Alligator mississippiensis: one gene and its partners. The protein of the gene in region 1 interacts with the protein of each later gene in a pairwise test. Links are inferred from orthologs where the notes say so. Each region holds a gene or a part of one and is shown on either strand. Other genes may lie near its edges.

The links. The genes of interacting proteins can lie anywhere in the genome.
Region 2: the proteins of ADRB2 (region 1) and ARRB2 interact in binary tests that used the Homo sapiens proteins (3 or more experiments, as listed by UniProt). The link is inferred for Alligator mississippiensis from reciprocal best matches to the Homo sapiens genes ADRB2 and ARRB2.
Region 3: the proteins of ADRB2 (region 1) and KCTD13 interact in a protein complementation assay, tested with the Homo sapiens proteins (2 studies listed by BioGRID and IntAct, with this or other methods). The link is inferred for Alligator mississippiensis from reciprocal best matches to the Homo sapiens genes ADRB2 and KCTD13.

The regions. Positions count from the first base shown.
Region 1 is NC_081832.1:60,956,056-60,963,487, reverse strand, and holds the start of ADRB2 (beta-2 adrenergic receptor), read left to right. Parts: upstream 1-4,428; 5' UTR 4,429-4,460; coding exon 4,461-5,604; intron 5,605-7,432. UniProt on the Homo sapiens protein: Beta-adrenergic receptors mediate the catecholamine-induced activation of adenylate cyclase through the action of G proteins. The beta-2-adrenergic receptor binds epinephrine with an approximately 30-fold greater affinity than it does norepinephrine.
Region 2 is NC_081838.1:23,720,527-23,728,310, forward strand, and holds the start of ARRB2 (beta-arrestin-2), read right to left. Parts: upstream 3,003-7,784; 5' UTR 2,909-3,002; coding exon 2,886-2,908; intron 1,598-2,885; coding exon 1,567-1,597; intron 1,171-1,566; coding exon 1,110-1,170; intron 1,013-1,109; coding exon 968-1,012; intron 740-967; coding exon 543-739; intron 470-542; coding exon 410-469; intron 304-409; coding exon 236-303; intron 1-235. UniProt on the Homo sapiens protein: Functions in regulating agonist-mediated G-protein coupled receptor (GPCR) signaling by mediating both receptor desensitization and resensitization processes.
Region 3 is NC_081830.1:279,168-287,045, forward strand, and holds the start of KCTD13 (BTB/POZ domain-containing adapter for CUL3-mediated RhoA degradation protein 1), read left to right. Parts: upstream 1-4,876; 5' UTR 4,877-5,196; intron 5,197-5,303; 5' UTR 5,304-5,309; coding exon 5,310-5,562; intron 5,563-6,245; coding exon 6,246-6,415; intron 6,416-6,490; coding exon 6,491-6,580; intron 6,581-6,672; coding exon 6,673-6,725; intron 6,726-6,819; coding exon 6,820-7,015; intron 7,016-7,623; coding exon 7,624-7,860; 3' UTR 7,861-7,878. Other genes in the region: ESX-1 secretion-associated protein EspI, read right to left, coding at 1,868-2,002, 2,264-2,384, 2,628-2,829, 4,158-4,190, 4,304-4,546, 4,637-4,748. UniProt on the Homo sapiens protein: Substrate-specific adapter of a BCR (BTB-CUL3-RBX1) E3 ubiquitin-protein ligase complex required for synaptic transmission.

The sequences.
Region 1 (7,432 bases):
AACCAACAACATCTGTGTTTTCATATTAGCAAAGCTGATTATGAGCAAGTTAATAGCTTGGATGAGCTCTGGATAATTTGTAAAATGGACTATCTTTGTACAAGAACTCAAAGGGCTGTCATTATAAAGATGTAAATCCCACAAATCAAATAGAGCACTAATAACTTACTGTTGTACCTCATTCCCATCAGGGACATAGCTCTGTGTGTTAGCAGGTCCCTGGGCTTCGGGAAAATCTTCCTTTTTCCCCACTTCTCCATCTTACTTTATTAACCATACGAGTGGTTCATAGTGAATACAAATGAGCAAAGACAGATTACATCAAGGTTTTAGATGAGCTGGTCATTTTCTCCACCCTGACTAATAGACAGCCCTGAAGTACACTGTGGAGGTTCATGGTGGGTCAGTATCTGGAAGGTGTGTGAGTTTTTGTGCATGCATGACACATAGCCAGAGCTGATGTTGCATTGTTCAACTGGCAAACTCAGCACGGGCAAGCCCTGCTCCTCCCATTCCCCCACCCCAGTTGGTGTTTTCCAGGTCTCCAGTCTCTTTTCAAGATGTAATACTTCTTGCAAGTGATACCATATATATCTAGATTTTAATATAGGGGGTGCTTCAGGATGTGAAGTCATCTGCTTTCTGAACTCTCAGAGTTCTGTCTAAACACCACAATCAGCAGCGACACAGTGAAAATTAAAGGAATTCCCTTCTTCAGTCACAAAAAATATATATCTTAATTCCATTTTTGATCAGCTCTCAAGAAAGAATGAACAGGTAAACGAGGTGCCATAACTTGTCCCTTCTTACTGTGCTTTCTGCTTTCCTTCCCCATGTTGCCTGCAGGTCCTTATCTCTTCTCAAACATTGCCTAGTCAACAATCCCTCTTTCCCAATCATTTCCTTTGGTGTTTCCACTTCAAGGTGTGTGGCTTTTGGGCATGGGAGGGGTGGATATATGTGCAAAGGAGAGATGGAATGTGCAAGCCATTAAAGTGTCTCAAAGCAAGTAAATGGAGCTGTGTTAAGCAATTATGGGCCAGATCCTTCACTGACCTAGATTAGCACAACTCAGTTTAAGTCAGTGTACCTATGCCGATTTACCCTTGCTAGGAACAGCTGTAACTATAGATACAGGTTTATTAGAGCACAAACGCTTTACCCAACCTCCAGTTAATTGAAACTCATGGTTTATCAAAGGTCATTTCTGTTCCCTAGTGCAACCTGCAGCCTGCTTTGCTTAGTCAATCCTCATTCTTTCTGAAGGCTTTTGGTATTTGCAGGGAAAACAAGGGCTGTGTATATCATCTATTTTATGTTTTTAAATTTGTTTATTTTCATAAAGTTAAGGATTGTGAAGGCTGGGCAGACAGTGGTATTCAGGAACAGGGCAAGAAATGTATGCAGAAATGAGGCTTCTCCTGCTTCAGGGGAAATAAACTGGCCCAACATGGAAAATACCTAGTGATTGACATTGCTTTTAACCTTATTTCCTGTTTCAAAAGTTCAGTGAAGTTCAGCTGAACAAAACCTGTACCTGATGCTGCAAATACTTGCAGTCCTTCATACATCCCCCACCCTTTCTTAAGCCACAAAACTTCCTTCAACATACACAGTTGTGCTCTATAAATAAAATCTTCGGGCCTATTACATACACCAGGAGTAGCACTGACATGAAATGGGACACCTAGTGGATTCAAAGCAGCAAGTTCTGAGATGCTTGCTCTGATCACTACCCCTCAGAGAAAGTGAGAAGAACAAGCAGAGCAGAGTAACTGTTGGCAAGTTTACTTTGCTAATGGGAACATCTGGGATATTTACTGCTTTTGCATTTAATTTCCTATTAGGAATAGAAAAACGAGGCACACTCTTGAAAACCACTGAATCTTTACTGTCCTGAGAACTTTAGAGTGTGATTTAACATTAATAATCCTTCAGAAATCTGAAGAACAATCAGAAGCCCTCTGCCTCCGGGCCATTTTAGTCATAACAATACTTGCATTTCCCTGTTACCTTTCATCTAAAAAGCTGAACAAACCCTGTACCTGATGCTGCAAATACTTGCAGTCCTTCATATGCTAGTTCTGTGGATGACATCATGGGGATTGTTTGTGAGGAAGGGACTGCTTTTGTGCCTAAGAGCATGAATATACCAACAGCATCACCACCACGCAGCCATGGATAATGGATACACAGCATGGCTGTGGACAGAAATGAAATTTTGGGCTGTGACACCATTGTGAGTCCTTTCTGTGCCCTGGGATCTTTAATGACCATGCAAATCACAGCCCTGAGACTTGGAAGACAAGCCCAAAAGACCTCACGCCTTGCAGGAAATTTAATTTAGTTGTGAAAAATGCAGGGCTGAGACAGTATGGTTTTATTCTAAAAAAACCCAGCAAAAATGAAACATAAAGCAGCAGCATTCTTTTCAGTCAGGTTACAAGAAGCTTGGCACCATCTTTATTCCCTAGTTAGCCGATTCTTTGCTTCTGGGGAAAATACTTTTAAAAGTTAAATGAACAGATTAACTATGTCTGGCTTCAGCATGGTGAAGCAGAGTGCACTGGAGTTATATGATCACAAATATTCCTAATAGCATTGGTGTCCTGAATACTCAGGAAATCACTGAGTACATTGTGTCAGGGCCATATTTTACTGTGGCTAGGTCGCTGCTGTAATTGTGAACAGCTGTGTGTGGACAACAATGCTTTCAAGCTGATTAGAGAAAAGGCAACTGACCCTATGTACACACTCCGAGTTATGTAAATTAAAAGTTTAACTTCTCATTTAAGGTCTTTTGAAAATCTAATGTACAGGCAGATAAGGCAGGTACAACCTGTATTACAAATTCTGGTCTGAGGAAAAAGACCTAAAAATAGATGCTATTAGGTAGCAAAAGTCCATAAAAATGCCTTCTTCTCCTTGACTTAAAAAAAAACCTAGAACTCTTGGTTCCAAAATGATATCTTTTATGAGACCAACTGGAAAATGGCAAGAAAATTGTCTTTTTTCTTGCTATTTTCCAGTTGGTCTAATAAAAGGTATCATTTTGGAACCAAGAGTTCTAGTTTTTTGTATGTCTTTTTGTCTCAGACCAACACAGCTACCAAGTACACCCTTCTTCTCCTTGATGCTTTTCAAGAGTCAAAAGATCCCCTTTATGCTCACCAGAAATCCAGAAATTGTACATCACAGCACAAGCTAAGGAAGGATAAGGTCCTTCTAGTACCATTAGTGGCCTCAGGATGAGCTGAGTTGCCCTACAGTAAATTTAAAAGGCTACATGGTTCCCAAAGTATCTGAAGACTCTGTCAGAGCACTCGCCCTTACCCAAACAAAGTGGCTGAGATACTGGCCTCACCTTTCTTGATTCCTCCATACACTTCTGCCAGCGTTCAGTCTAAGCCACCTGCTTGTTTGGCAAATCTGCTGGGGGGGGGCACTGCAGATCCCATCTTGGTCTTACCAGGCCCTGGGAGCTGCAGCCTCCTTGTACACTGGATCCTTGCACATGCTTCTAAAGCAGGAATTGCACAATACTGAAGGGACCCATGTGAGCTCTCCCTCACTTTGAGAGGGGTCACACTGAAATCAGCAGGACTCTCGGAGAAGTGTCCTGATTTCTGGGGGGAGCGGGGGGACGGGTAGGACAGGTTCTGCACCTGTCTTCTTGTGGGGCTTCTGATTATTTGCCCAGTCCCTAAGCTAGGCATTTCATTTAGCCTCCACTTTCCTCCTGAGGAAGGAAGTTTACACTCACTTTCTGATCCGACTCCAGGGATCATGTGCTAAATTCAGACCTGCAGTTAAAAGGGAGGGTGTGGCCGGCTAAAGGCTGCAACTAGAGGAACTAGATCTACCCGCGCCACTCGGTTGGCCCGAGGAGGGAGCTGCGCCGCGCTTCGCTGCACCTGGCGACTGGGTCGAGCCGTCAGACACGGTCCGAGGGCGAGGGAGGGAAGGAGCAGCTGCCGCCTCCCCCCGGCTGAGGGGTCCCGGGCAGATCGAGAGCCCCGGGCTGAGTCGAGCGCTCGCCTCCGCCCGAGCCCGCAGCGGGGAAGTGATCGCGCCCATCCCGCTCCACGCAGCAGCGCCGGATCTGAGACCCGGCCGGCAGCAGCGATCCGCCCCGCTCCGCCCAACCCAGGCCAGCCGGGGGCAGCTGCCGCGCCGTACCGGGAGCTCTGCTCGGAGCGGGTCCCCGCGCGGGACAGCGGGCGCCGCGCTGCGGTCCCCGCTCAGAACGCTCGAGTCGGCTTGCGTGTCCCGCCGGCCTCCCATTGGCTGCGCCCTTTGTGATGTCACGCCCGGCTGTTCTATAAGCTGCCTGGCACATAACGGACTCGGGACACTTGGCTGCTGCCCGGACGGGGCGGGCGGGCGGGCGGCAGGGCTGGGGTTGGGGCTGGGGCTGGAGCTGGCCTGCCCTGGCCGGAGCCCGGCGGCAGCGAGGAGCCATGGCGTCGGCGCGGAACGCCAGCGGGCTGGACAGCGCGAACAGCACCACGCTGTCGGGGGACGTGTGGATGGTGGGCATGGGCGTGCTCATGTCGCTCATCGTGCTGGCCATCGTCTTCGGCAACGTGCTGGTGATCACGGCCATCGCGCGCTTCCAGCGCCTGCAGACGGTCACCAACTGCTTCATCACGTCGCTGGCTTGCGCCGACCTGGTGATGGGGCTGGCCGTGGTGCCCTTCGGCGCCAGCCACATCATGCTGCAGATGTGGCAGTTCGGCAACTTCTGGTGCGAGTTCTGGACGTCGCTGGACGTGCTGTGCGTGACGGCCAGCATCGAGACCTTGTGCGTCATCGCCGTGGACCGCTACTTCGCCATCACCTCGCCCTTCAAGTACCAGAGCCTGCTGACCAAGGGCAAGGCCCGCGTAGTCATCCTCGTGGTGTGGCTGGTGTCAGCGCTCACCTCCTTCCTGCCCATCCACATGCACTGGTATCAGGCGGAAAGCCGGGAGGCCCTGGACTGCTACGAGAAGGCCACGTGCTGCTACTTCTTCACCAACCAGGCCTACGCCATCGCCTCCTCCATCATCTCCTTCTACCTGCCCTTGGTGGTCATGGTCTTCGTCTACGCCCGGGTCTTCCAGGTGGCCAAGCAGCAGCTGAAGAAGATCGACAGGTTCCACGTCCAGGGCTGCCAGCAGCCCGAGCACAGCGGCCGGCCGGGCCGGCGCGCCTCCAAGTTCTGCCTCAAGGAGCACAAAGCCCTGAAGACCCTGGGCATCATCATGGGCACCTTCACGCTGTGCTGGCTGCCCTTCTTCATCGTCAACATCGTGCACGTCATCCAGGACAACATCATCCCCAATTACCTGTACACCCTCCTCAACTGGCTGGGCTATGTCAATTCCGCTTTCAACCCGCTCATCTACTGCCGCAGCCCGGACTTCAGGTTCGCCTTCCAGGAGCTGCTGTGCCTGCGCCGCTCCGCCCTCAAGCTCTACGCCAATGGATACTCCAACAGCAACGGCAGGAGCGACTTCCACGAGGAGGACAACGGCTACCACTCGGGGCCGGATAAGCCTTGCGAGCTGCTGTGCGAGGGAGGTGCCGTCGCGGCCACAGGAGGCTTGTTGCACTGTCAAGGTACTGTGCCCAATGGTCGCCCCGAGCCCCCGGGGGTCAACCCTAGCACCCAGGTGTCCGTGTTGTAGGGCTCGGCCTTCCTTAGGGGCGAAAAGGCACCCGGCGACGTGGCGGCCAGAGGACGGCCGGGAGGTGCCTGCCCGGGGTGTGCGGATGCACAAACGCTGTAGCAAGGACCTATTTATAGGCGCGCCGGGGGGTTATTTTAAGCCTGTTGTAGCAGGCTCATCCCAGGAGGAACGGGTGACTTTTGTGGTGTCCTTGTCACTGTGTTGATCTACCTCAGAGCTCTGGTTAGAACCATCATCTTCATCTTCATCTTCACCGTGGCCTGAACCGCGGAGCTGCCTCCTCTCTGGGGCTGGGCATCGGGTCGGAGGCCTGCCCGTCCCTTCCCCTCCCCCTCCCCCTCCCCAGCGCTGCGGATGCTCTTAGCCGCGGACTAAATACAAAGTTGCGCTGACAACTTTTTTTAAGCGACGCTTTTCTGGTTCACTTCCTCCCCACGCCCGCGCCCGGTCTCACGAAGGGCAGATCAGCTGGGGGAGACTGAGGGGAGGGCTGGAGAAGTGCTCCACGCCTCCCTCGTGGGCTCCGGCAGCCCGGGGGCGGTGCGCGGGGCAGGGGCAGCGCGGAGAAGGCGTCTTTCCGGCCGCCCATCGCCTGTCCGAGGGCGCGGGGGTCCGAAGGCTTCCGACAGCCACGTCCGTGGCCCCCCCCGGCTGCACTAAACACTTGGCGGGGTGTTTTGTTTTTCTCTTCCCCTTGCTCTCCCTGTTGCCCCGGGCTCGGGCAGCCCGGGGGGCTGGGCTGGGCCATGCGGCGGGGGCTGGCAGGACATGATGTACAGACGTGCTGGGCGACAGTGCATCGCGATCAGCACTGCCAGGGCGGCCCTCGGGTCTTCCCTCTGCCCTCCTGCCAGCTCTTGAAGTGCTGCATCTCGGCTCCCGGCCCGGCGGGGGGACGCGCGAGGTCCGGGCTCGGCGGGGCTGCGCGGGGCTGTCAGAGGGAAGCTGATGCTCAGACGCACGCGGACAGGTGCGGGGGGGGGGCGGGGGGAGAGCAGCGACACGGGCCCTTCTCAGATCGGCAGTGGCAGGAAGCGATCAACGACCCCTCGTGCTCTGAAGGGCTGCAAAGAGCGGGGAGTGCAGGGTGCTGCCCAGCTTCGGGGGGAGCAGGCAGGGCAGCGACCCTCGGCCCTCGCTGTGCAGGGTGTCAGCCTGCCCCCTGGCTCCTGGGCCGTGCGGGCTGGGCCGTTCCCGTGTTGCTGCTCTGCTGTTTCACTAGTGCCCCCAGCCTGGGCCAGGGAACTTCCCCCGCTGTCAGCTTGGCTTGAGTAGGCAGCCCCTGCTCACTGCCGGCATCCTGCTGAGGGCAGGGGGCTCTGAGTCTGTTGCCCAGACCCGAGGGGCTCCTAGGAATCCTACCATGGGGGGGAAATCTCAAGCAGGAATGAACAAAATACCAGGGATGCGGCTGGCAGTCTGCTCAATGCTGCTGCCAAGGGGCTGGAAGGACAAAGCTCTCTGCACGGGAGCATCCAGTGCTGCGATTCTCAGGGGTATTGCCAGTGGATTGAAGAGGGACCACTTGCTGCAAAGTCAGACAAGCAGCTGCTGCAGAGCATGGGTTATCTTCTCCCTTTGTTCTTATTGCACTGCCTTACTTCTGGGACACAGGGTAGTTTCTCAGTAGCTTCCTGGGCACTCAGCAGCTGCTAGGGCTAAGATCATCCTAGGCTTTACCATTTCCAGTGAGGACAGCTACAGAGACTGTCACTGGAAGAGCTGGCCTGCAGCAAGCTGTGTGCACCTCCATCAGA
Region 2 (7,784 bases), on another chromosome or scaffold:
GGACACCTAGGTTCATCCCCCCGCACCGAGCGCCGGTGCACCCCCTGGCCGGTCACACAAGCACTGGCCAATCACTCCCAGCCACTTCTGGGACCCACCCCCCAGCAGTGAGAGAAACCGTGGGGGGACCCCCCTGTTGGTGGGACTAGTCACGGGGAGGCATGTGTCCCCCCAACTAAGGTGAAAGCAGTTGCCCATGCTGGGAGGTGAGCAGGGGGGGATGGTAGCCCCTTACCTCTTGTGAATCTTTTCCTCCAAGGATTTGGCACAGAAAGCTCTGATCTCATAGTCGACCCCACAGGCCTGGAGGGGGAGACCCTGTTAATGTCAGTGCCCCTCACTCCCAACCTGCAGCCCCCTGCCCACCCAGGCCTGCGGGTGCCCCTCACTCCTGACCCACAGCCCCTACCTTGCCCGTGTCCTCAGGCCCTGGCTGTAGCGTCACCGAACATGGCAGATTGGGGGGTATCTGGGGGGGAGGCAGAAACAGTTAAACAGGGTGGTCCCTGGGGGCTGGTTTGGGGTTTGCGGAGGCCACTCACTTTGAAGGCGAAGGGGTGGGCTCGAGGGCCCAGCTTGCGCAGCAGACGGTCCTGCAGGCGGGTGGGGGTGAGTGGGGGGGATGCAGGGGGGGGCGCAGCCTGCAGTGCCTCCGAGAACAGGTCCTTGCGGAAGGACAGACCAAGAACGTCCAAGTCCTCGCGCCCATAGCGGAAAGCGCAGGTCAGCGTCACGAACACTGCGGGGTTGGGGTGGGGTCAGTGCAAGCCACACCGTCTTGGGGAACCCCAGGCCCCACGCCTTGGAGACCCCCCCAACCCCTCAGGCAATACCCCCACAACAAGATCTTCAGACCCCAAGCCCCACCCCCTTGGGACACCCCCCATCCCAGGAACCAAGGGATCACCCATCCATCAAGCCACACCCCCGAGGACACCTCCCCCCCATAGGTCCAGGCCATGCCCACCTTTCCGGTCCTTCAGGTATTCAGGGTCCACCAGCACCACGCCATCTGGGGGGAGGGGAAAAGGTGTAGGGGGGGTTGGACGAGCCCACCAACAGCCCACACTCCCGCAGACCCTTTTCCTGACCCCCCCAAACCAACTCACCCACGAGGTCCACGGAGTCCAGGTGGTCCACAAAGTCCCTTTTGCCCAGGTAGACAGTCAGCTGGTGGGGGGGGGGAAACGTGACAGGGGGAGCAGACCTCTCCCGACCCCAGAATTGCCCCCCAGCCCCCAACACCCCTGCCAGTGCCCCTTACTCCCAACCCACAGCCCCCCAAAACTGCCCTCCAGCTCCTGGTCCCCCCATTACAGGATCCCCCAGGTGCAAGGAGGGGGGATTAACCCCTCCTAGGCTGTGCTGGACTCACGAGCCACAGCCTGAATCTAACCCAGCCACAGCCCCTCCCCCGCACCTTGTGGCCAAGTTGGGGGGAGGGGGGGGGGAGGAAGGAAGATGGGCAGGGGTGGAAATGCTACAGGAAACCGAAGGGGGGGCGGGGGGGGCTGCGGTTCAGGAGTGAGGGGCACGCAGGGCTGGTGGAGGGCAGGGATCACTCACCTTGCAGTTAGGGCTCGACTTCTTGAAGACCCTGCAGAGGGGAGAATCACAGCCTCAGCCCCCGCAACATCCAGGGGATCAGACCTGATCTTTGACCTCCCCCCTGCTCTGCCCCCAGGCCCATAACCACCAAACTCCTAAAGATGGGCTTAGGCCTAGCTGGTTGCCACAGAAACATGAAGCCTGGGGGCATCTACAGAGGCCTGAGGGGGAGTCCAGGAGGAGCCTTAAGGGTGATGAGGAGCCTAGTCCTTGGGGGCAGGGGGCACCAGCAGGAGCTACAGGTCAGGAGTGAGGGGCACCAGGAGGGTTGGGGGGGCAGGGGCTGCAGGTCAGGAGTGAGGGACACAGGCAGGGCAGTGGGGGTAGGGAGGGGCCGTGGCTGTGACAGGACGTGCTGCTTCCTGTTTGTTTCTAGACGGGAAGTAGCACGGAGGATCCTCATGTCCGTCCATCCCCCACAATGGCCAACCTGCCCCCCACAACCCAGAACAGGACCCTGATCTGGGGGGCTGCAGTGCAATGATGCCCCCCACCCCACCACCAGCTGCAGCAGGGAACCCCGTTACACCTGGCCCTGTTCCACCCCAGAGGCAGCCGCACCTAGGACCTGTTCTACCCAGCCCCAACGCCCCACCCCAGAGCCAGCCGCACAGGGGACCCGTTATCCCTGCTCCCTGCAGTACCCTGGGGCTTGAACTGTGGAGTGGAGGGGGGTCACATCTCCTCTCCCCCTGCACCCTCCCACCCCCACCCAGCCCTTGCCAACTTCCGAATTAACGCTTGGCAATTTTCACTTCCTCTTTCTGGCCTGGAAGCCCCAAAAGGCTCAACTGCCTCATTAGCTGCAGCTTCCCTCCCCCAGCCCCAAAGGGTGTGGGGCAGGGGCTGCGGGTCAGGATTGAGGGGCACTGGCAGGGCTGGGGGGGCAGGAGCCTGCAGGTCGGGAGTATGGGGCACCCATGAGGCTTTGGGGGGCTGCAGATCAAGAGTGAAGGGCACTGGGCAGTAGGGGGCTGCGGGGCAGGAGTGAGGGGCACCGGCGGGGCCAGGGGTCTCCAGAGAACCCAGGCGTCCTGGTCTCTCTCGCCCCCCACAAAAAACGGACCCAGGCGTCCGGGGCCGGCGATGCCAGGCGCGGGCAGCTCCATCATTCCCCCTCCCCTCCCAGCCTGGCACGGCAGGACCCTGAGCCCAGATTAGCCGGGGAGCGGGGGGCGGACGCCGGAGGAGCGGAGGGGGTGGGCGCGGGAGGCTGGCCCGGACGCCGGGGCTCTCGCGGGGGGGGCGTCCAGACGCCTGGGGTCCCTGCCCCTCACCTGGTGCCCGCCTTCTCCCCCATGGCGCGGGGGGTCCTAGGCGGGCGGCGGGAGCCCCCGGCGCGGGCTGCAGGGAGTTGCGGACCCGAGTGGGGACATGGCAGGGGAGGGGGGGGCGGTCACGTGGGGGGGCGGGGCAGCCAATCACAGGGCGCGCGGGGGAGGAGGGGGGGACGTCAAGGGCGGGAGAGTTCCCCCCTCGCGTGCCCCAGGCGTAGTACACGCGTGTGCTTTGTACTTGTGCGTGTACATGCAGGCACATGTTTACACATGTAGTACACACGCGTGTGCACCTGCAACCACTCCACGCACACCTGCACGCATGTGCACAGGTCTGCACACACACACACATCCATGCGCATGGGGGTTGTGCAGATGCACACAGTTGCACGTTTTTGGGCGCACACAGGTGTGCCTGCGTCCCCCACGTGTATGGAAGCACACCAATGCAGAGCCGTCCACATGGGCAGTTGGGCCTGGATCCTCACACACATGCTTTGTTCTGGCCACAGGTCTCCACAGGCAGCCAAGTGTGTGTCTGTGTGTGTGTGTGCACGCATGTGCAAATGAGCCCCCACCTGCACACATGCACCCCCACCTGCACATGCACACACGTGTGCAAACAGGCCTGCAGACATACACACACGTGCAAACACACGTACACTGATCTGCATGCGCACACCTTTGAGCACAGATCTGCACACATATACCAAGATTTGTAGACACACACGGGTGAACTCCCACCATCCTCACATGCATGTGCACACAGCTGTGCATGGAGCTGCATGCACACATGCACACATTTTCATGCCCACATGCACATACACCCCACACATGCACCCATACACCCTCATACGTGCAAACATGACTGCACAGATCTCCACACCACCCTTGAGCACAGATCTGCACATGCACACATGCAAATTTTTAGACACATGTAAGTGAACTTGCATCTTACCCACACGCATGTGCACACAGCAGACAGTTGTGCATGGAGCTGCACACACGCACATCTTCATACCCAGTGCACATACATCCCCCCCCCACACACACACACACCTGTGCTTGGACACAACCGCACCCCTCTTGCACACAGCGCTGTGTTCACACCCGCGGCCCCTTGGCACACGCACACGCCCATACCCACGTCCGGCCACCACGGGGCGCTGGGGGCGGGCGTGACTCAACCCCAGCCAGGAACCTGCCTGTGGTTACGGGCCCGGGGGGACTGGCAGGATCCAGCTGACCCGAGACTGGGCAGAGCTGGGGGGCAAGGAGGGGACCCCTGGTCTGAACCAGTCTGTGCCCAGTGCTCTGGACGGGATCGTCTGGGCTGGTTTGGACAGGGCTGGGATTAACGAGGGCAGGCCTAACGACACAGCGGTCTCAGTGTAACGCAGAGGAGATTAGGTCACCTAGGCCCAGGACTATACGGACAGGGCATCTGTCCCCTAGCCCCAGGACTAAGGGTCTAAGTCTCTGCGAGAGGAGGGGCCTGGGGTGGGAGGAGGGGACTGGAGGCCCAGACCCTGGTTCTCGGTGGGGGACTGGGACCAGCGGGGCGGCTCAAGTCCCTTTACGACCCTCTTGCGGGGGATCATCCAATTTCTATGTGCCCATATGACCCAGCTCTGGGCCTTGTCACGTGACCCCTGTCCCCGCGCCCGGGAGCTCTGTGGGCCGTACCATTCTCCCCCGAAGTGTAAAAGGGAGCTTAGTTCCCCCGTATCCCGCTCCACCCCCTCCTCCGGTACAATCCGGCTCTTATAACCACCCCCGCCCCCAGAATGATGGGGGTGGGGGGAATTAGGGGCTTCGTCGAAGTGTCCCCATGAATAGCCCCCACCTTGAACAGAATGGAACCGTCCAGGCCCATCCCCTTCTCGTCGCTTTCCAGGGGTCGCCGCCAAGTGGTACCTCCCTCCCTCTGTTCCCCCCCTGCGCTCAGCTGCCGAATGGTAGCTGCCGCCTCTTATTTATTCCCCCCCCCCCCTCCCCCCGGACGATGATCTTCTGTTCTTGCCCCTCCCTGTCAAATGCTTCCCGGGAGCGGGCAGCAGCGGTTTTTGGTAATGGGGGCCCCTTGCTGGGAGCAGAGTCAGGTCCTTGGACCGACAAGAAGGGGGTTGGGGGGATCTAGCAGTCCCCTTTCTGTGGGGGGTCTGAGCCGCAGCTCTGGGGTGTTGCACCCCCCAAATCTGTCTCCCCCCCCCACGCTGGAGGTTTTTGTCTTGTGCAATGGAAGTGGACCCTGCAGCTGCCCTAGAGCCTCGGGTGTCTCATGGGGAGAAGATTGGCTCTATACTGGAGGGGGAGGGGAAGGGGAAGGATGGGGGTTGGCTATAGGGGTATTTGCTATATATAGAGGACCAGACTGGAGATGGTCTTCTTTATAGGAGAAAAGGATTGGGAGGTTGTCTGTCCACTAGGGAGCAGAGAGCGGGGGGGGGGGGCGGTTAGGTGCATTGTGGGTAGGTTGAAGTGGCTACACAGAAAGAGTAGGATGGAGAGGCTGGTTCTATGTTGGGGGGGGGGGAGGACTGGGCAGTTCTCAAGGGCTTTTCCACATCCATTGTGGGGTTGGCTATATTAGGGAGTAAGCATGCAGGGGTTGGATTTATGGTGGGGAAGAAGGAATTGAGATTCCCTCTATGGAGGGGGGGTTCTCAAGTGTGCTTCCCAGTGCATTAGGCCTTGGCTCTGTTGGGGTTGGCTTTATGGGTGGGTGGGGGGTGCAAAGGCTCTGGAGGGAGAGGTTCCCCAAGGGCTTTTCCAGCTGCATTGTGGGTAGGGGGGGGACTTGTCTCTAGAGGGGAAGTGATTGGTTGGCTGTATGGGGGGAGAGGGAGTTGGGCTTTCAGGTGCATTGTGGGTAAGGAGGGCATTTTAGGGGAAGGGGCTGATGCTAGGACAGTGAGGGTTGGGGGCACATTTAAATGAATGAGGGGTCCTCCATGCTGCCAAGAACAGCTGGTACCATTGAAACTCGAGGGGAGGGGGGTTGGATGTCCTTAACCATGGAAATGCAGGTGGCTGTGGCAGGCTAAAGCATCCGCCTGCACAAACGGGGACTAGAGTGTCCATCACAGTCAGCCCTAGTGGATCCAGGGGGCTAAAGTATCTGCTGCCACCACTGAGATTCTTTGAGGACAGTGGGGCTGGAGCACCCCACTCCTGGTTGGGCTGATGCAGTGGCCAAGGGCCATGACTTCAACCTGTTATCACAGTTGATCCCATGCAGTGGCTCAGTGGCGGAGACAGAAGAACGACAGAAACAGAAGGAAAAGAAACCCCAGTATTGTCAAACGTCTTTAGTTTATCTGTAAAAATCATGCATTTAAAACAAAAACATTGTATTTTTACCTCCATAAAAAACAATACCATTTGAAAATCAACCCTGACCCAAACCTCAATTGAACCGATGCAAAAATATATTATTTTACATACAGAATTTCCAGTTTTGTAAAACCAAATCTTGCTTCTGGAGCAAAGTGTGAAGCTGGTCGCTCAAACAGGAAATGTTGCAGTAGCGGAACAAACAATGATGCAGCCCAATTTACAAATGAAGTGGCAAAAAGTGCTCCTAAAAAAAGTCTGAGTAGCTCTGCAGCATAATGCCCAACACGTTTGCACAAGTCAGGTAAAGCAAGCACTAAGTCATGGTTAATAAAAGTCTGTTACAATAATTGTGCAGCTGCCCACAAAGACCTGGTGAGAGAACTCCAACATCCAGGCTCCCAGACCCCCCTGCCATCACACTCCAGCCCGCTCCCATCCAAGAGAACCAAGACATCTGGGCTCCCAGCTTCCTCCTTCCCACCCCAACGTGCCAGGGCTGAGTCCCCGGCAGCAGCCCAGCCCAGTCCCCACCCCCAGCCTGGGCTGCAGCAGCACCCAATGCTGCTAGGGGAAGGGAAACCCCCTGACTCATGGGGGGGTGGCAGCATGCAACAGAGCCCAGCTAGCTGGAAGAGACCCAGGCCCAGGTTACCCCCTGTCAAGAGACCACATTTGATACAGCTGATATCCAAAAGCAGGGGATGACCTGAGTGTCGCAGTGCCTCAGCCCTGCCTGGGACTCTTCCCTGGCTGCTGGGTGCCCCCCCCCCTTGTTGCCCCATGTGTCAAGGGGTTTTTAAGCCTCCCCCAGAGGCACTAGGTGCTGCTGCTAGCACCAATCCCGCAGGGTCCTGGCTAGAGGATCTTGCCCCTGCGCTTCCACCTCCAGGGGGGCACACAGCTTCAGAGCCAAGAGCAACCCCGCGGTGGCACCGAAGGGCCTCGACTGCATGCAGTGACCAAGGTTGATAAAAGGGTTCTCTAAGGTATGAGTGGGCTGGATGGCAGCAGGTCTGGCCTGCTCCGGCCTGGCTTCCCTCCAGGGCAGGGGTGACCAACCTAAGCCTGAGAAGGAGCCAGAATTTAGCAATGTACATTGCCAAAGAGCCACAGTAATATGTAATATGCAAGCAGTCATGTCACGTGACATAACGGCTATAGCAGCTGGTCACCGTGCTTGTGCAAAGGTTCAAGGAGATGCATATTAACTTTTGAAGAGCCGCACGTGGCCCCAGAGCCACCAGTTGGCCACCCCAGCTCTAGGGCCTGTCCCATACACTTCATTTCTATGAAATGCTGGGAGGGGTGTGGGGGGTTAACTTGAAAGTGTAGGGATGAGCTCATTTTGGAAAACTTTTCTCCTGCGAGAGCTGGGAAGGCATCTGCCTCCGGCCTTCCCACCGTGTGCAGTAGCCCAGCAGCGACAATATTTCCCCCTGGCGCACACACACTAGTCAACAGCACTGAGGAGAGGGGTTGGCCCTGAGGTCTGCTGCTACACAGTGGGTTGGGAAGGTAAATCTCTACCTGACTAAAGGCTGCCCGGACAAGCAACCTGGA
Region 3 (7,878 bases), on another chromosome or scaffold:
GGGGCCCAGCACGGGCGAGGGCGGGGGCGGGCGCCGGCAGGAGCTCCTATAGGGGCCGGGGCCGGGGGCGGCCGCGAGACGCCCGCGGGCTCCCCGGGGCGCCGGCAGGGGCCGGGCGCGGCTCCATGGGCGGCGGCGGCGGCGGGGCGCGCAGGGGCAGGGCAGGATGCTGTGGGGGCGCTCGGGGCCGAGGGGCTGTGGGGGCCGGGCGACGCGGGGAGGCTCTAGGGGCGGGCCGCGGGGGCCGGGCGGGGGTCGCTGCTCCGTGCGACCGCCGCCGCCGCCGTCCCCGCGTCCAAGATGGCGCCTGCGGCCGGAGCCGAACCGGAACCAGGCCCGACCACCGCGCGCACGCGCAGTAGAGGGGCCGGGGAGGGGAAGGGGGCGCACACGCATGCGCATGGCATGGTGCCCCCGTCGAGCGCATGCGCGGCGGGCGGGGAAGAGCTGGGAGCGACGCGTCGCTAGGGAGCGGCTACACCCGCTTGGGACCCGGCGCATGCGCAGGGGGGGAAAGGCCGAGGGAAGGCGCGTGCGCAATAGAAGCGCGGCGCCCTCTGAAAGGAGGGGCGGTGAGTAGCTAGGCGCATGCGCAACTGCATAGCGCTGGGCCAATCAGCGGCAAGACCTGCCATACGGCCGGAAACGGGCGTGACCACAAAGCAAGAGGAAAGTGATATTGGATTGGTTGGCTCCAAGAAGAGGGGCGGGACAAAAAGTAAACCTAGGTAGGGATTGGCCGGCCGAATAACGGTTGCAGGAAAAGGGGCCGCGGCCGTGGGCGTGGCTGCGGTCGTTGCGAACTCCGAGCTCTGACTGGACGAAGCCGCTCGGGGCTGGGGCGGGGCCGGAGGCCAAGAGTCTCCTTCTTATAGGTGTGCGCAAAGCCCGGGGGCGGGGCCACCCCTCCGCGTCTCCGCCCGCTGTTACCAGGGCAGGATTGGTGGCCGCGCATGCGTAGCGGTGCCCTGTGGGACCCGCCAGAAAAGGGCGGGAAAACGGGGCCAACGGCCCGAAGCGGCCGTTACACATCACCTGGTCAAGATGGCGGCTGAGAAAGCCCTTCCCGTCGTGGGGGACACCGTCTGCCTGGCCTGAGGCAGCGACACCAGGCGGGAGGGCACCGTGCCACGGCCCCAGCCATGCTGCTGGGGGAGCCAGCCCTGCCGGCTCCGTGGGGAGGGGTGCTGGTAGCAAGCAGAGACACCATACACCCGCCAGCCCCAACGTGAGGGGAGCCAGCCCCGCCGTCACCACCCCCGGGGCCGGAGGAGAGCCGCGCACTGCCAGCCCGGGCCGGGGCAGACGATGCCCTCGTGGCCGTCGGCGCCACTGCTGCTTGTGACCGAGGCGCTGCCCACCCAGGGAGGGGAGGACGCCCCCATGGCCGCCAGCCCTCCGGAGCGGCAACACCGGCGTGCATCTGGCCACGTCCTGCCCGTGGCCGCGGAGGAACAGGAGCCTGGGGCCGCGGGGAGACGCCCCGGCCCCAGGCTCCCGCTCAGCCGGGCGCGAGACCGCCATGGCTGCCAGCCCGGGAGGGGGGCCGCGCTGCCTGCTGGCCCCGGAGCAGACGCCGCTCCCGCCAGCCTGGGGCAGGCACGAGACCCCCCGCGCCCGCCACCCCCGCCCGGAGGGCTCTCGCGCACCAGCCCCGCGGGGAGGGCACGCGGCCCCCACGGCCCAGCCGCGGCGCGCAGGAAGCAGGACGCGGGGCCAGGTAGGCTCCAAACATTTATTAGGGCGCCGCAGCTGCAGCCGGCACCTGGGGGGGCGTCAGGGCACCGGGCCCAAGCGGAGCCACGTTAGGTGCCTGGACAGCCGGGGCCCTGCGCTCCGTGGGGCGGGGTGACCCCCCCGGGCAGCGCTACACCTGGGCCCACTTGTCGCGGGCAGGCGTGGGCCAGATGCCGGCGGCCGCCAGCGCGAGGCCCAGGGCGCAGAGGCCCAGCAGGGCCAGGCCGGACAGCACCAGGCGCTGGCTACACAGCGCGCGCTCCTCCTGCGGGGGGAAGGAGGGGTCAGGGCAGCCGCAGAGCCCCGCCCCCTCGCGCCCCTGCCCATAGCCCCGCCCCTGTTGCTGTTCTCCCCCCGTAGCCCCGCCCCTGTTGCTGTTCTCCCCCCGTAGCCCCGCCCCCCCACTATTGCTTGGCGACCGTCATAGCCCGGCCCCCGTTGCCCCGCCCCTCCCCATGTACACGCCTGCATTGGGCCCTACTCCCTGCCCCTGCCGTGACGTCCCCGCGCCCCGACCGCGCCTCACCGGGCTGAGCGTGGGTGTGAGCGCGGGATCGGGGTGGTAGCGCGGGCGGAGGCAGCCCCCGGTCCCCTGCGTCACTCCGGCCGCGGCCTCCGTGGGGCCCAGTACGCAGCGCGGCGGCTCCCTGCGGGGGTAGGGCCTTCAGTAGGGGAAGAGCCTAGGCCGGCCCGGCCCCTCCCCGCACTCACCTGTGTCGGGGCAGCAGCGCGGCGGGGCCGTCCAGGCGCAGGCAGGAGCTGCCGGGGCCGCCCCAGGGGCTCAGCGCCACCAGGCGCACAGGCAGTGCAGCCGCCGGGCCTGCGGGGGGCGGGGTCAGTGCGGGGCTGGAGTAGGGGGCGGGTCACGGGCGGGGTGGGGCGGGGCTCACCTGCCAGCCCGAGGCGGCGCGCGGAGACGGTGGCCGCGAAGCGCGTGGCGTTGGGGCGGGGCCCGCCTGGGAGGTCGAAACGCAGTGACACCTGCACGGACACGGACGCGGACGCAGCCGTCCCGGCCGTTGGGGGCGGCGCCGGGCCGGACTCGGGGCAGAAGCGCAGCTCGGCCACGGCGGCCAGCAGCGCGTTCCAGTCCTGCAGGGGTAGCGCGCTCAGTACCACCCCGCCCCACCCCGCGGCCCCGCTCGGCCACAGCGCCTCACCTGCGCCTCGGAGTCCCGCACGTTGTGCGCCTGGACGTGCGCGCCCAGCGCCGCCAGCGCCAGCCCCAACGCCGCCAGCCCCAGCGCACAGGCGACCAGCGGGGGGCGCTGCACCAGACACTGCCGCAGCGGGCTCGGCCCCCCCGCCATGCGCGCAGCTGCGCCCCGGTCCCTTTAAGGCGCGGCGCTCCCGGCGTGTGAGGCGCGCTGGCGGAAGCTCCGCCGCACCGCGCATGCGCCGAGGCTAGGAGGCGGTGCCAGGAGGCAGCGGAATGCGGGGCCCCCAGCGCGGCTCCAGCGGCCTCTTACGACGCTGGCGTAGCCATGCTGGAAAAGGGCAACCAGCCTCTCTGGGACTGTAGAGACAAGGGAACCTGCCGCTGCCCCTGGGAGGGGAAGCGTTACACACCGCCCTCTCCCGACCCAGCTGCAGCAGAAAACAATGCTAGGGGCCTGAGGTGGAGGCAGCAAGACAGTCTATCACACCCACCCTCGCAGTTGCCCATAGCCAAGAACAACAAGGACAGGGGGTCACCCCACTAGACACACTCGGCCAGAGGTGAGTGAGCCCTCCTGCTAGGGCAGCACTGCCTGCAACAGGGGCAGAGCCCCGGGGCTCGGAGGCAGAAGGCAGCTGTCTGCCTGCAGGCGCAGGCTTGGACACCTTCCATTTGTCTTGGCCTGGAGCACCTAGGCAAACTACTGGGACCAGGCAAAGGGCAAAGCAAAACAGTGGGACCATGCAAAGGGACGTAGGATTTAATGGGGACAGAACAGGAGATAACAAGACAGAAGCTGACAGACTGACCAGGCCAGGCCAGGCCAGGCCAAGCCCCAAGGCCACCATGTGCCCTCCACAGAACACCCTGGGGACCACAGCTGTCCCCTGCCTCTGTGCCAGGTGCATTCAGGGTGGGGGGGACCAGCCCCCACCACCAAACCTGCCCCCAGACGTAACTCCCCCAATGCACCAGGGGAGCCCCTTCCCCCACGGCCCATCAGGAGTCAGGCACCGGGGCAGAGGGCAGGTGTCCCTGGGGCCCTGCCCCGGGGTCATAGCAGCATCTTCAGCCCCTGGAAGGGAATTTAACCCTTCCCATCCAGGGCATCTGTGTAGACGGCCACACTGCTGGGCACTGCGGAGACAGAGCTGTGGTTAGCACAAGAGAACCCAGGTGTCCGGGGCTGTGCACCCCTCCCCCAACTGCCCGACCCCAGGCATCCAGGGGCTGCTCAGCCCCCCCCCCCCGCGGCACTCACCTTGCGTGTGCTCCTTCCAGATGTGATCCCAGGCTGTGGGGAGAGCAGGGGGTGAGGCCACGCAGTGCCCCCCCACAGCGCCCCACGCTCCCGCCCCACAGCCCGCCCGCCTTGCCCGCCACCCCCTGCAGTGCCCCGCCCCTCACCGTCGCGGTGGTAGCTGCGCGCCGCCTCCCAGTCCGGGCGGCTCATGCCGTCGCGCGGGGCGGCGGGGGGCCCCGGGTCGCTGATGAACGAGAGGCCCCAGCGGTTCTGGAAGATGGCGCCCAGCTGGGGCCGCGGCGGGGGCGCACGGCGCGGCGGGACCCAGGCGTCCGGGGCCGGGCGCGGCGGGGGGCGCGGCCGCGCCGTGTCGGGGTCCTCGACGAAGGCGCTGGGGTCCCGCGGGGCTGCGGGCAGAAGGGGGAGGGGGTAAGCGGCCGCCTGGGCCGGTCTCGCGGTGCGGGCGGCAGCGGGACAGCTAGCCTCCGCGGCGGTACCTGGAGACAGGCGGTTGGAAACGTCGTGCAGCCCCGCCGCCACCGCCACCTTGTCGCCGCGCGGAGCCCGCGCCGCACCCTCGGGGTCCCGGTTCTCGTCCGCGCCCCGCATGGCCCCACGCAACACGTGCGGCCCGCGTTTGCCACGTGACTCCCCACCCCACTTCCTCTTCCGCCCTCAGGTGACGCCCAGGCGCTAACGACAGTGCGCACCTTCTGACGTATCCCCTCTCTTCCCCTCCCCAACAGGCCTAAAGGCTCTAGGTCTGTGCGCATGCGCCAGAGGGCCTGCCTGCCGGGGAGAGGTAGCGCCCTCCTGTGGCGGATGCGCCGCTCGCTCTTACGCTGCCGCGACGTTGCATTCTGCGCATGAGTAACGCTCGCCACGCCCTCTCCCTGTAGCTCGGCGGGGAGAACCCGGATGTGCAGGCTAAGCGCGGGGGTCCGGCGCGCAGGCGCGGTGCGGTTCTTGGCTCGGGCTGCCGGTCGCTGACAGCTCGGCGGGCGCAGGAGAAGGGGCGGCCGCGGGGGGCCTCGGCACCCACCCCCGGCGGGACGGGGTGAGCCCAGGGCCGCCGGGCAGCAGGGGGCTGTGGCGGGGTCGGAGGTCGCCGCGCCGGGGCAGGGGACGTCTCCGCGGGCTCACCCCGGCCTCCCCTCCCCGCAGGCGGCGATGTCGGCGGAGGCCACGGCAGCCCCGGGCCCCGAGGCCTGCGCCCCCGCGCCGCCCGCGCAGCCCCCCGCCCCGGCCGCGCCGCCCGCGGGCGCCACCTTCGACCTCAAGCCCCTGAACCCCAGCAGCAAGTACGTGAAGCTGAACGTGGGCGGGTCGCTGCACTACACCACGCTGCAGACCCTGGGCAAGCAGGACACCATGCTCAAGGCCATGTTCAGCGGCCGCATGGAGGTGCTCACCGACAGCGAGGGTAGGGCCCGCGCTGCGCCCCTGCCCCACTCACTGCCCCCCACCGCCCCTCCCCCCGTCCTCCTGTCCCGCTCACTGCCCCCTGCCCCACCGCCCCTGCCCCGCCACCTGCTGACTGCCCCCGTCCTCCTGCCCCCACCCTCCTGCCCTGCCACCTGCTGACTGCTCCCCCATCCTGCCCCGCTGACTGCCCCCTGCCCCCCACCCTCCTGCCCCACTGCCTGCTGACTGCCCTCCTGCCCCACTGACTGCCCCCTGCCCCGTCTTCCTGCCCCACTGACTACCCCCTGCCCCACCGCCCCTGCCCCTGCCCTCCTGCCTTGCTGACTGCCCCCCGCCCTGCTGACTGCCCCCCCTACCCCCTGCCCCTGCCCTCCTGCCCTGCTGACTGCCCTGCCATTTGCTGACTGCCCCCCCCCCAGCTCTGGTGCTCCTGCCCCACGGCCCCCCCCAGTGCCCCCTGCTGAGAACTGCCATGTCCGGGATCCATTGCTTCCGGTGGTCTGGCTGGAGCAGCGGGGGGCGGAGGGGCAGGTCCGGGCAGGGGAGCCCGTCGAGAGGCCCGGAGGAGGAAGCGCCAGGCACGGCCCCGCGCGGCGAGCAGAGCCCTGCTCTGCGTCAGGCCGCCCAGAGCCTGGCGCGGGCCCTGCTGGCCAGCCGCCCTCTCAGCCCCGGCCCCCGCAGGCTGGATCCTGATCGATCGGAACGGGCGCCACTTCGGCACGATCCTGAACTACCTGAGGGACGGGGCGGTGCCGCTGCCTGCGTCGCAGCGGGAGCTGGAGGAGGTGCTGTGCGAGGCGCGCTACTACCTCATCCAGGGGCTGGTGGAGGACTGCCAGCTGGCCCTGCAGGTAACCTGGGGGCGGGGGCAGGGCTCCGGCCGCACACGGTGGGGGGGGCAGCGGTGACTGGGTGTCTCCGCGTAGAACAAGAGCGAGGCCTACGACCCCCTGTGCCTGATCCCCATGGTGACGTCCCCCAAGGAGGAGCAGCAGATCATCTCCAGCTGCTCCAAGGTGAGCGATGGGGAAGGGGCAGGACGGGGACCCTCTCCTCGCGCTGTCCTGCCCAGCTCCAACCCCCCACCCTGTGGCTCCTCTCCCCACAGCCGGTGGTGAAATTGCTGCATAACCGGAGCAACAACAAGTATTCGTACACCAGGTAAGGATGCCCTGGCCCCCAGCCTCTGCCCTGCCCTGCCCTGCCCTGCCCTGCCCCGCTCACGGTGCCACTGCCTCCCCCCCTCCCCCAACAGCAACTCGGACGACAACCTGCTGAAGAACATCGAGCTGTTTGACAAGCTGGCGCTGCGCTTCAACGGGCGCGTGCTCTTCGTCAAGGACGTGCTGGGCGACGAGATCTGCTGCTGGTCCTTCTACGGGCAGGGCCGCAAGATCGCCGAGGTCTGCTGTACCTCCATCGTCTATGCCACCGAAAAGAAGCAGACCAAGGTGTGGGACACCCCCCCACCCCGCAGTCGGCTTGGTACATCCTGCTAGGCAAGGCTGACAGGGAGCTGCACTGCACCCCGCCTGTGGCCACTTGCTACATTTCCCCCCCCCCCCCCAATATGGGAATTTGGTGCAACCCAGTAGGAGTGGGAAACTCCCCCCCACACCTTGGCACTTGCTATGTCCCAAATCTCTTCATCAAGCTCTACACTGGTTTGGTATGTCTCAACCCCCCATTTTATGAGCACTTGAGATGGTCCAAACCTCCCCCCCCTTATATTGGCATTTGGTATTTCCCAGAGCGCTGCCTAGCCCTAGAGCCTTGTTTAGACTTTCCCCCCTTCCCATTGATATTTGGTATGTTCCAGATCTCCCCGTTATGTTGGTATGGTACATTCCATCCCCCCTGCACTGACAGTGGTACGGTCTGAGCCCCTGTGTCCCCACCTCTTGTTGATATTTGGTACATCACACTGTGCTGAGTGAAGCCATTTTTGGTTTCTCCTATTGGTCTTTGGTACAGTCCAGAGCGAGCTGGATTGCACAGCTCCCCCATCCCAAGGGGAGTTGGTATGCCCTGGCCCCTCTGACCCCTGACCCCCGCGCAGGTGGAGTTCCCCGAGGCGCGGATCTTCGAGGAAACCCTGAACATCCTGATCTACGAGACGCCGCGGGTGCCCGACAAGGCGCTGCTGGAGGCCACGGGCGGCGCGGCCGGTGGGGGCGGGGCGGCCCGTGCCGAGGACGAGGACGGGCGCGAGCACCGGGTGCGGCGTATCCACGTGCGGCGCCACATCACTCACGACGAGCGTTCCCACGGCCACCAGGCTGTCTTCAAGGACTGACCTCCTGGCTGCCCCCAC